Arabidopsis thaliana: one gene and its partner. The protein of the gene in region 2 binds, or shares a complex with, the protein of the main gene of each other region. Each region holds a gene or a part of one and is shown on either strand. Other genes may lie near its edges. A codon is read from its position in the direction of its gene.

Region 1 (6,645 bases), about 12 Mb from region 2:
GCAATGTTTCTGCATCCACAAAATGATTATTGAAACTCGATATATCGCTGAAACATAGGATATAACCTAACAAGAAGAACAACTTTCCTGGAAAACTTAATTTCATATTCTCTAAGAAATAAGGTTGGAGTGGCAATCAAAGAGTAAAGAGAGATTTATATAATAATATCAAAATAAATGAGATAAAGAGAAATATAAATAACATTAATATTTTCTAGATACACATGATTTCTTTTTCATAAAATTTGAACTATATAATTAACTCATTTTTTTATTAAGTGTTATGGTACATGATTATTGTTATTACATGTATTGTGTATCTGTATAAAAATGTGTAAATCTAGATTACTAACTTATGAACTTAACTTGGTATAATTATTTTATTATATAAACTTTGGTTTTCAAAATTAGTAACTCACATGATTGCGACACGGGTAACTTTCTCGATTAGATATCAACAACTGTTTTATTTTTTTGTTTTCTTTTACAGAAAATAAAAACTAATTAAAAGAATATTTACATATACTAATTATTCTTACCCAAAAAAAACTAACAAAATGTTTTTTACATGTGTTATTGGTCAACAAGATTTGGACATGTATCAAAAAAATCTTATCCATTTAGCATGGATTTTAACCAATAAACAATGTGTTGAAGTTCAAAAAAAAAAAAAAACAGGTTATTTAAAATTAATTAAATTAAATAATTTTTTTGCTTATATTATACTTTTAGATATAAGACCTAATCAGTAAGAAAGCAATTTGATAATAAAAAGTTGGTTGTTTGAGAAAGATAAAAAAAGTTGGATGGATTAATTATCCCAGCTATAAAAAAAAATTGATTGGTTTAGGTAAGTTTTTCTAAAATAAATTTATATGTTACTTGTGATTGTCTTTCATAATCTATCTGAAATTTTCTTTATGACCAATCACAAAGTTGAAACTGAAATGATTTTAGGTAACATAACTTGTCAAAAACAGTTTAGTTCACAAGTGATCATCTCACATTGGAAACCATCTAATCCTTTCAAGATTTGCATTATTTGTAACAATCACAATGGTTAAGAACAAACGATAAAAGTAGAGATTGTATATATCGCCATGCCTCCAAATTCATATATGCAAATGTAAAAGGGAGTCCTAATAAGAACAATACAAGATGCCACAAAGCATCCAATTAACACTGCAAAGTTTTGAATCTAACAATGTGCTTATTGCAAATTGCTTATAGATTTCACCGCAAGCTAAACCCGAGATACAGTGATACTCAGGCTTAAACAAAAGGTCTATAAAGAGGACAGCAAACGAAGAATCAGTATCTTTATTTTTGCGAAAAGAGAGAAAATGTGAAAACCCAAGTTAAAGCTCTCACTTTTTCAAGAGCACGGCACTGCACTGCGCCATGATCTTTGATGCTCTTGTGATCGAGTTTGTCATGTAAAAGTTCTCAACCACGGTTTGGAACGGTGTTGTGCTCATTGCCTCCTTGCACTCAGGCTTCAATGAAGGCCCAAAAGCAGCTGGCTCTCGCTCATCTGTGTGGACTAGATTTGGTGCAACGCTCTTTATTCTTGATCTAACACCTTCGATTGAGTTGTATGGAAGCTTCACACCCGAGACCTCGGATAAGGCTCTCACAATCTTCCAGTCATCTCTTGCATCACCAACTGTTGGAACAGCTGGAACAGTCTGTTGGGTAAATCCTTCAGTATTTTCATAGGTTCCTTCTTTCTCAGTGAAGGCCGATGCAGGGAGAATTACGTTTGCACGGTAAACCGCTTTGTCTCCATGGTGTCCTTGGTAAACCACAAAGGCGTCTTTAGGAATCTTGTCAACATTTACATCGTCTGCTCCCATCAAGTAGACGAATTTTGCAGACTCGAGGGCTTTGGCGGACTGTTGAATGAGACCAAGATCAAGAGCAGCCGCTTGGGCAGCATACTGAAGGAGAAAGTTGAGACCGTTCCAGTCTGGTCGGACAACATTGTTGGCTTGTGCAATGGACTCCACAGAAGAGAGGATAGCATTTTTATCAGTTCTGTTGAAGAGCCCAGCACCAACAATGATTGCAGGGTTTTTGGCGTTCTTGAGAGCCGTACAGAATGGATGCCGTCCCTCAGCAATTTCCTTGAGAGTATCAGGCCCAGTCCCGAGGTGTTTGCAGTCGTAATTGAACTCTGCAGGTGGACCAACATATCCAACCTTGGCATTTGATGCACGGACTGTCTTGCAGATCCTAGCATTCACCATTGCAGCTTCCACCCTAGGCTGGTAAAAATAGACAAAAACTGGTGAATGTACTGCTAAAAAACCTTCACAACTTTGATATCTGGAAGAGCAAGTTTTGCTTGATCTAGATTGGTCTGGATCAGGAATATTCAATACAAGCGAAATGTTAACATCTGATCTGTTTTTTAGAAACTTAATTTTGCTTGTTTCTCCTTTCTATTTGCCTCTGTATTCCAAATTATGCACAGAACCTTAAGCCACACCACTAAATCAAAGTATCAAACTACACAATTTGGTTTTTCTTATGTCATTGTTCCAAATACAGAGCGGTCTGTCTAATCCGGTACCAGAAACCATACAAAAAAGACAGGGTGGAAATCTCACCTGGGTACCGATGAGAAGGAAGAGATCGGCGTTTTCAAGTCCACTGATGCTAGTGTTCATCAGATAACTGTATCTAAGATCAGCATCAACACCAGCAGCTGTTCCTTCACACCATACATTGTCTGAGCCCATTCTGTTAACGAAGTCCTTCAGTACCATCATGGATTCCGCATCAGATAGCTGACCTGCTACTCCAACAATCTCATCTGGCTTCACCTGATGAATGATATCACCCACAACAGCCAAGGCATCACGCCAGCTCACTGCCTTGAATCGTCCATCGGAATCTCGGATCATAGGGTCGCTCAGCCTTTGTCTTTTCAGGCCGTCATAACAGAATCGGGTTTTGTCAGATATCCATTCTTCGTTTATATCCTGAATAAGAACATTCACAAGTTCAACATCCAGCAAAATACTTTTAAAAATAGTGTTTTTGAACAAAAGCATTACATACCTCATTCAGGCGTGGAATGATACGCATTACTTCTGGTCCTCTACTATCAACACGGATGTTGGACCCAACAGCATCACTAACATCAATAGTTTCTGTTGCTTTCAACTCCCAGTTTCTGGCTTTAAAGGCAAAAGGCTTTGAGGTCAAGGCTCCAACAGGACAGATATCAATAACATTTCCAGAGAGTTCACTGGTCATAAGCTTTTCAACATAAGTTCCAATTTCCTCTCCACTACCACGACCTAGTATACCAAGATCCTGAACCCCAGCAACTTCAGAAGCAAATCGTACACACCTACAAAAACATTATACATACAAAACCTAATCAACAGGATAGCGTATCTATCACATTAACTAAAACATCACACTATAAGCAAACTATATTAGTAACCTTGTACACTGGATACACCGAGTCATAACAGTCTTCACAAGAGGACCAAGATTCTTATCAACAACAGATCTTTTCATCTCAGTAAAACGTCCTCTATCAGATCCAAAAGCCATAGACTGATCCTGAAGATCACACTCTCCTCCTTGGTCACAAATAGGACAATCCAAAGGGTGATTCATCAACAAAAACTCCATCACTCCCTCCCTCGCCTTCTTAGCTATCGGTGTATCAGTCTTAATCTTCATCCCTGTTACAAAAACTCTTAGCAATAGCACCAAATCCAAATATATTCCACCAATCAACGATCAAAATCAATCCATCAGCATAGAAATTTTCCTGGAATCGAACTAACCAGGAAGCGCAGGCATGGCACATGAAGCTACAGGCTTAGGAGATTTCTCAACCTCAACAAGACACATCCTGCAATTTCCAGCAATAGATAAACGAGAATGATAACAAAACCTCGGGATATCAACTCCAGCGACCTCACAAGCCTGAAGAACAGTGAATCCTTTAGGGACTTTGACCGCGTAACCATCGACAAAGACCTCGATCGCATCTTCAGGATTCGAGAAGTGGACGCGTGCTCCACCTACAGGGTTTCTAGGAGGGAGAATCTGTGTCGGCGGCTCAGGCTCAGAGACAGCAGCGGATTCAGGAGATTGGAGCTCTGGTTTTGAGACGATTGTGCGGAGGAAGAAATTGGAGGTTTGAGATTGAAGAAGACGTGAAGCTGGTCGAATTGTTCGAGAAGCTAAGATGCCTAAACCCATGGCGTTGTGGATCTGTATCGTCTTCTTCTTCTTCTTCGTCTTCTATGTGTGTATTTCTCGATCTTGTTGTGAGAACTCCTGAAGCATTTGTGCGAGAGAGAAGGAGACACGAATGAGTGAGTTTTGGGCTTTATGGGCTTTTATTTTGGATATTATAATTGGCTTATGAATGAGTGAGTTTTGGGCTTTGTGGGCTTTTTCTTTTCAAACTGAATTAAGTTAATTTTGGGAGATATAGTTTAAGAGTTTTGATGATCTTTCTCTAATTCACTTAATGACATTGAGTTTAAAACAATCTTGCTTCTAGTTCCATACAACATATTAGAACCTCTAGCAAAATAAACCTCTAATCAATCATTAGTCCTAGAGACTTTTAGGTCAATGTACTAATTGAACATTTGTATATTTCAGATAAAGACAACTTAAAATATGGTTATAAATGATGACAATTTTAAACATCTCAACGTCGTCTATTTAAATAAAAGGAAAGAAAATATTGTCAACACCTATGCTGCATCGGTTAAGGTTTACGTGTAAGAGTTAGTTTATTTTCCTCGTTTGTTTAGGTTTACGTGTAAGCATCATTATCAGTGATATTGTTATTAATCTAACCTTTGCAATGACAACCAAAAAAAAAAAAAAATGAAGTTTCATAAGCTTTGATATATATTATCTTATCATTACAGGCAGACATGATAAGTATAATTTAACTCGTTTAATTTGATAGTTTTAGTTATAAATTTACATAGTAATTCGTTATAATTTTAATTATGGGTTTGAATGGTTACGGCGGTTCGGGCGGACAAAACCATCAACGGATCAGACTGTTTTTTATTTACCATTAATCAATTATAGTGCACAGTGGTCCGGACAAAAAAAAAAGAAGAAAACCGCAACAGATCATCTGTGAATCATCCACGAACTATTTTTACATATAAATAAACTTGGTCCACAGCGGTTTATTGTCCGCCTCAAAATAAGGTAGATTAAACCGCATACAAAGTATACCGCTTTGTCCACTGCATCCATTCAAAACTTATAAAGTTATAAGTTATAGCTAATAAATATGACACTTTTTCAAATTGTTATAGATCACTTTAAGAGTGATTACATTCCTCTCTTGTTTTTTTTTGTCAAACAGAGTGATTACATTCCTTTCTTTTTTTTTGTCAAACAGGGTGATTACATTCCTTCTTTTTTTTTTTTTGTCAAAACAGAGTGATTACATTCCAAGGCAAAGAAACATAAGGGAGAACCACTAACTACAATAAAAATTGTTGGGTTAATGGCAAAAGAAAAAAAAGAATTAGTGGTTCTTCTATGAAAAAGAATTGCATCCAATGGAAAGAGGATGTGACCGAGTTGATAAGATATGAAACACAACATATATAGCTTTTTGTTATCAAACTATTTATCGTCTCGTATTTGTTCTAATCTAAACCGAAATACTAATATTTTAAGGAAATACTTTGCGAAAAATAAATAAAAATTCTCACCTTTATTCAATCAAAGCCAAAAATGAAAAAAAAAAATAGAAGCAAGACAATCATATTCATACAACTCGATAAGGTAGTACCTCTAAAGTGCAAAACGAAAACAAGAAATATCTCTGCTATCTCATTCTCGTCAACTAGGAAACTCTGCATAATCTCTCTTTTACACAATGCAAAGAATAAGGTGAAGATGAACTGATTATCTCTAGCGTACTATGAAAGTCAATATTTAGATGCAAATTAGGTGATTTTTATTGTCGATATTCTTCTTTTTCTGGACACGTCCTCATATTCGTGTATATTTAATTTCTTCTCTTGGTTTTATACAAAGCCGACCATTTGGAAAATTTAAAACTAAAAATCTCAAAACCTGATGTAAATTTTGATTTTACTTTAAACAGAAATCCTACGTTAAACATATAGGAAATGCTGTTACACACCCATTAATGTCTATAACTAGTACATCAATTTACAACAGATTTATTGTCTTAAAAAAAAATAACTCCCCCACTTACCCCGTGAATGTTCAAGTACACTAGTCCAGATTAACTTAAATTCGATTATGCTAGAAATGATTCACAAAAACCGGTTTAGGGAATCATCATCCAGATTTGGAGCATCGTAATCTTTTGGTAAATTTTTATTAGCCGTTCGTACAATTCAATTCCAAATTTTAATTTAGATGAGATTTTTTATATTAAAAAAACAATGATATATGTTCGACAATCGACATGTTCTGATGTCCTATATAAATTCGGTCCTTCTAGACAAAACCTTACGTTATACACTTCAACTAATAAAGAGTCCAAACCAAACAAAAAAAAAACAGTAGTTTCTCGACAGAAACAAAATCAATATAGCTTTAACATCACGAGAAAGAAGAACTAAAGAAGACCAAACAAAAAATAATTTGGAAAAAAAC
Region 2 (5,059 bases):
TGATGAAGAATCTAGCGACTCTGATTCACTTTCAGTTTATGACATTCTGAAAGAATGGGAAGAGAGTAGTAAGAAAGAATGAAAATGCTTGTAAATTTCCTCAAAATCTTTAGTAGAACAAAATCTCAATTTTTTTGCTTACTCATCTCACTTCAAAATAGTTTCAAGGTTACTAAACAGATCATCCACATACAATAAAAGATCAGTTATACAGAATCTCAGATTCGGAGAAAGAACATACATATGATCAAACTGCGGATTTACACTGTTACTAACCAAAAAAAGAGAGCAGATAGGTTTGGAAACTTAAAAAACTCTGCAGGTGATGAGATATCGCCTGATTCAAGATCGGCACTCTTAAGAAACCAGTAAACCCACTAAGTATATATATTTTATGGCTTGCTTTGTTACAGAACTTCCCCATGATGGCTATTTCTTTCTGTTTCACCAAGGATGATTACGGATCCTGAACTTCAAAGCTTTCATGGCTGCCTTTGCAAATATCTGAGCAGCTTCAGCTTCTGCTTCTGCTCTTTCTGCCTCTTTTGCTGCTTGTTCAGCCTCTGTGATAGCAAATTCTGCCTCTGCAACTGCTCTTGCTGCAGCCTCTGCAGCTTCTTGAGCTGTCATGCCTTTTATCATATATAATTCACCGTCTACTCGGAATTTAGTGAGACTGTTGGCACCGTTCTCCTCGGGTTTTGTTGGGTCTTTCTTGTTGTTTCCTTCCAGAAAGAGTTGAGGAGCCTTCTGTCTTGCACCTGCGGGAATAAAATTAGAAGAAAACCTGTACTTGTGCTTTATCTGAAAGTGAGAAATCACCAAGTAAGTATTTTTGAAAATTCTGAGAGTAATGAAGTGTTAGTGATCATGAATCTTGAATCAAAAGTTGTGTGTTTACCTTAACTAATGTTCCATTCGATGATAAATGCTTTAATCGTACTGCGACATGCCTTTTCATATTCGGTGGAGTCTTGAAATTCTCCTGAAATTTAACAGCTACTAAGTAAGTATGCAACAAACCCCAACCAAACATGTAATCCCAATGGTAGAAATACCTCTATATACAGAAAGATTGATGTTCTGTCAGAACCGCGTAGTTCCCTCAAGTTGGTAATTGCCTCAAAGATGATCTTATCCAAACTACAAAAACAGACAATAGCGCAAGATCAAATCTTTATGAACTCAAGAAAATCGTTATGTGGTGCATAAGTCAGGGAACCAAACCTTGTAATTGATCTCTTAGAAGCACAAGTGCGTGGTGATCCACCACCAGAACCTCCGGGGGAAGTTGGTTTTGCACGTTCATCATCATTAGTCAAAGCCACAATGGTAAGAGCTGTGTTGTTATCATCCTGTTTAGTACCTGGTGGAGTCCTCTTAAGCGCAAGTTTAGCCTTCTTCCTTGAACCCCATAAAGCTGTCACGCTTATATTTCTCCATTTGTCCTGTTATGCCTTGAACTATCAAGATTAGTCCGAAACACGCGATCACAACCTCCAAAAAGCATATTATATTGTATTACCTTAAGATCAACATTAGAGCGAGACTTAAGGATTAAACTAAACTCAGTATCCGAGAGTATGGTACGCCACTTCCCAGTCCCATGCTTAAGAACTCCAGCTTTAAGAGCTGCTTCTTCTTCCGGTGTCCACTTCTGCTTTGGTGCACCCATCCACAGTTATCAATATTTGAATTTCTTCTTTTCTCTGCCAATAGATGTGAACGCTAACATTAGAATCTGTTAAATCGTACGAAACTTAACCACATCAAAGCCATTGTTGAACATTTCTTATCCAATACAAAATTTTGGTCATCTAAATCCAGCAGATACACAAAGCCACAACATAAAAATGTAACTACACAAATCCAAAGAAATTAGATACGCCCCAAAGCTCAATTCAACAAAAAAATGAGTGATTCGAGCAATCTCGAACCAAAAAAAGAGGATCAAAGCCCATTAACAACGTCGCAAATCAACAGGAATTTGGAAATACAGCCATCAATCTAAAGCGATAGCTAAATTATCAACCAAATTCAAATGGGGCGATCGTAGAAAATTAAAAACAAAAATGGAAAATTCAGAGAAGGAAGCAGAAAGGAGGAAGGAGGAGAAGAAGCATGCCAGATCAAACGAAACCAAAGGAGAGTTTTCGAGAGAGAGACTTGATGATGAAAGCTAATTCCTTGTATAGATGTGTCATAGATCAAATGTGATTCGCTGAAACGAACGAAGAAGAAGAAGACCAGAGAGGCTAGCATAAGGAAGAAGAATATCCATAGAAACGAGAAACAAACTTGAGCTTTTCTTTTGTATTCAAGCTAAGGAAGATGTAACCCTATATTTCTCCACATTCACAAATTTGCCTCAAGTTTATCAAATTACACAATAAAACCTACCAACTAAATGAATAGGATCAAGCTGAATAAAATATACTAGTACTATTTTTTAAAAATAATGTATCTATAAAATTTATCGTTGTTAAATCTCACAGATAGTTTAGGGGCTATTAAAGATTTTTCATATAATAGTAAGACCGAAAGCGTAATTTATAAAATTTTGATGGCTAGATTGAAATATGTGTTTTTTTTTTCTTTCTAAAATCTACAGAAGTAGAAGAAACCAAAGCGAAATCAAAAAGCTCAGCAATTTTCCAGATTTCTCTAATTGACGATGGCGCTTTGTGCTACTACTCAAAGGACTATCCGTATAGCGGCGACGCTCCGGCGTGTTGCTCGACCTTTCGCTACTGACGCGGTGGTTGAGTCGGATTACAAGCGTGGTGAGATCGGTAAGGTCTCCGGAATCCCAGAGGAGCATCTTTCTCGCAAGGTAAATAAGCATTCGATTTCTTACGAATTCAGTTTAGAAAATTAGGGTTCGTGATCAGAGAATCGTCTTAATTGAGCTACATCGTGTTCTTGATTTGATTTTGGTCAATCGAATAGTGCTAAGAGTATTGAATTTGGAAATTAACAGGTGATAATATACTCACCTGCTAGAACAGCTACCCAGTCAGGATCTGGAAAACTCGGAAAATGGAAGATTAACTTCGTCTCCACCTTAAAGTATGCTACTTTTTGATTAAGATAATCCTCTTTTCCTCACATTTTATGTCCTAATATGATTCTTATCCTTAAAATTCCTATCTTTTCAAAACTTAAGTCTTCTGCTTGTGACTAGTACTAGTCCATCACTTGTTGATTAGATTTCGATTGACATCACTTATCTATGGCATTCATATGTTTCTAGGTGGGAGAATCCGTTGATGGGATGGACTTCTACAGGTGACCCCTATGCTAATGTTGGTGACTCTGCTCTTGCTTTTGATTCTGAAGAAGCTGCTAAGTCTTTTGCTGAGCGTCATGGTTGGGATTATAAGGTACGTTGTTTCCTTCTTCGTTTTTAGCTCATTTTTTTTTCTGGTCGCATTCACTCACATTTTATGAGAATGTGATGGTTCTGTTTTTTTTTTTTTTCGATCACCATTGTGATGGTTCTGTTTTAAGATCCCTTAATATAGAATTCAGAGTACTGAAAAACTTACATCTAAATCATTGCAGGTCAAGAAGCCCAACACACCATTATTGAAGGTTAGTAACTATCTTTTTGCTAATGCCGCATTATGACTTACGAGCTCTACTCATATGAGGTGTTTAACCCTAAAGCTGGAGATTCACTGGAACGACCCTTGAATGTTGTGTTAAATAGATAGGATATTCTTTAACTTAACTCATATTGCTTCATCAGAAATGGTTTGGTGCCTCTAGTTTAAGATTTAGCTACTAGTTTGACGAGCGATAGTCTCTTTCATTCCTTTGATTTATTTGGTAGAACATTCTTTAGATTGAAGTTTTAACCTAACCCCATGATTGTTCATCATCTAACATCTAACTGCAGGTCAAGTCTTACTCGGACAACTTCAAGTGGAAAGGCAATCCTCAACCAGAAAACTGATGTTACACCTTCTTCCAATTCTTCTCGAGCAAAAGAAGAAACCTCATTTGATATTAATTCTCATGTTTCTTTGTTATTTTAGCATCTGTGAGCTTTTTGGTTGAAAAGAACCATTATCCATGGCTATGTTTACTTATTACAATAATATGATGATGATGATGAAACACACTCCTTTGATATTTCATCAAGATTTCTGATCACTTCTTTACTGGTTTATTTCGAATTCGTGTGATTGGATTATGAAAGAGAGAGATAATTATGGTCGGAGTCAATAAAACATAAGATACCAAAATTCGAATTGAAAGAAGATAACAACAGAAGAAAGATTGTTGAACATTACATAACATATATGAGGAAATAAAAGTTGACTGAGGCAACGTATATAATTATCCTCCGATCAGAAACATGCATCCAAGAGACAGCAACAACAGAGCGCAGCCAAACTGTGACGTATTTATGAACAGAGCAAAGACATATATTAACTAATACAGTATTATTCCACTAAAACCTAAATACAAAGCAAAACAAGAAACCAAAATAAAGTTAATATAAAGTAGAAAAGATGGGATCAAGAACGTACCATCCTTCAAGCATACCGGCGTTTTGCTTCTGCTGCGGAGCTTGAGAGTACTGCGGCGGAGGATAACCTTGTGCAGGGTATCCCTGAGCATATCCTGGCGGTGGATAACCGGCTGGAGGATAACCGGCCGGAGGATAACCGTCCTTAGGTGGATACCCTTTAAACCGAAATTCAAGAGCAAATTAAACAAGCAGATCGAAGAAGATAAACCAACTATCCAAAACTAAAGAAAAAGAGATAATACCTTGGGGAGGAGGAGCACCGACAGGATGTTGTTCTTGATGATACATCTTTCTTCTTCTTCTGAGTTCTTTGAGCTTTTTTTTCTTTCTCTCTTTGTTTAAAAGCAAACTCTGTTCCTTTCCTTTATAACGAAGCTATGCCGGTGAGGAATAATGATATATACTTTTAATTTAATAAAGGAACCAGAAAATAAAGGAAATATTCTTTAAATAAAGTCTTTCTTGCATCATAAAGATTACGATTAAATTTCTTTGAAAATTAGGTGATCTTCTTCTAAT

The links. The genes of interacting proteins can lie anywhere in the genome.
Region 1: the proteins of FRO1 (region 2) and EMB1467 are in contact, whole or in part, in a cryo-EM structure (PDB 7AR8), measured with the Arabidopsis thaliana proteins. Residues at the interface, in NP_201560.1 of Arabidopsis thaliana: Ile55 (codon at 2,984), Tyr57 (codon at 2,990), Ser58 (codon at 2,993), Pro59 (codon at 2,996), Ala60 (codon at 2,999), Arg61 (codon at 3,002), Thr62 (codon at 3,005), Ala63 (codon at 3,008), Thr64 (codon at 3,011), Gln65 (codon at 3,014), Ser66 (codon at 3,017), Ser68 (codon at 3,023), Leu71 (codon at 3,032), Val79 (codon at 3,056), Thr81 (codon at 3,062), Leu82 (codon at 3,065), Lys83 (codon at 3,068), Glu85 (codon at 3,258), Thr92 (codon at 3,279), Asp103 (codon at 3,312), Lys126 (codon at 3,381), Lys128 (codon at 3,568), Lys129 (codon at 3,571), Asn131 (codon at 3,577), Thr132 (codon at 3,580), Pro133 (codon at 3,583), Leu134 (codon at 3,586), Leu135 (codon at 3,589), Lys136 (codon at 3,592), Val137 (codon at 3,902); in NP_568550.1 of Arabidopsis thaliana: Gly61 (codon at 4,050), Gly62 (codon at 4,047), Ala63 (codon at 4,044), Arg64 (codon at 4,041), Val65 (codon at 4,038), His66 (codon at 4,035), Lys87 (codon at 3,972), Gly88 (codon at 3,969), Phe89 (codon at 3,966), Thr90 (codon at 3,963), Gln93 (codon at 3,954), Glu96 (codon at 3,945), Val97 (codon at 3,942), Asp101 (codon at 3,930), Arg104 (codon at 3,921), Tyr107 (codon at 3,912), His108 (codon at 3,909), Ser109 (codon at 3,906), Leu111 (codon at 3,900), Ser112 (codon at 3,897), Ile113 (codon at 3,894), Ala135 (codon at 3,828), Gln175 (codon at 3,603), Glu178 (codon at 3,594), Cys179 (codon at 3,591), Asp180 (codon at 3,588), Asp183 (codon at 3,579), Asp266 (codon at 3,234), Lys288 (codon at 3,168), Ala289 (codon at 3,165).

The regions. Positions count from the first base shown.
Region 1 is NC_003076.8:14,895,075-14,901,719, reverse strand, and holds EMB1467 (NADH-ubiquinone dehydrogenase), read right to left. Parts: upstream 4,311-6,645; 5' UTR 4,231-4,310; coding exon 3,810-4,230; intron 3,705-3,809; coding exon 3,458-3,704; intron 3,362-3,457; coding exon 3,067-3,361; intron 2,988-3,066; coding exon 2,613-2,987; intron 2,268-2,612; coding exon 1,372-2,267; coding exon of another isoform or gene 1,368-1,371; exon of another isoform or gene 1,286-1,367; coding exon 1,273-1,285; 3' UTR 1,073-1,272; downstream 1-1,072.
Region 2 is NC_003076.8:26,955,399-26,960,457, forward strand, and holds FRO1 (NADH-ubiquinone oxidoreductase-like protein), read left to right. Parts: upstream 1-2,516; 5' UTR 2,517-2,674; coding exon 2,675-2,833; intron 2,834-2,980; coding exon 2,981-3,069; intron 3,070-3,253; coding exon 3,254-3,383; intron 3,384-3,564; coding exon 3,565-3,594; intron 3,595-3,901; coding exon 3,902-3,958; 3' UTR 3,959-4,159; downstream 4,160-5,059. Other genes in the region: DG1 (Tetratricopeptide repeat (TPR)-like superfamily protein), read left to right, coding at 1-82; TRB2 (Homeodomain-like/winged-helix DNA-binding family protein), read right to left, coding at 445-804, 902-985, 1,059-1,143, 1,228-1,448, 1,526-1,675; WIH1 (cysteine-rich TM module stress tolerance protein), read right to left, coding at 4,356-4,401, 4,539-4,695, 4,783-4,828.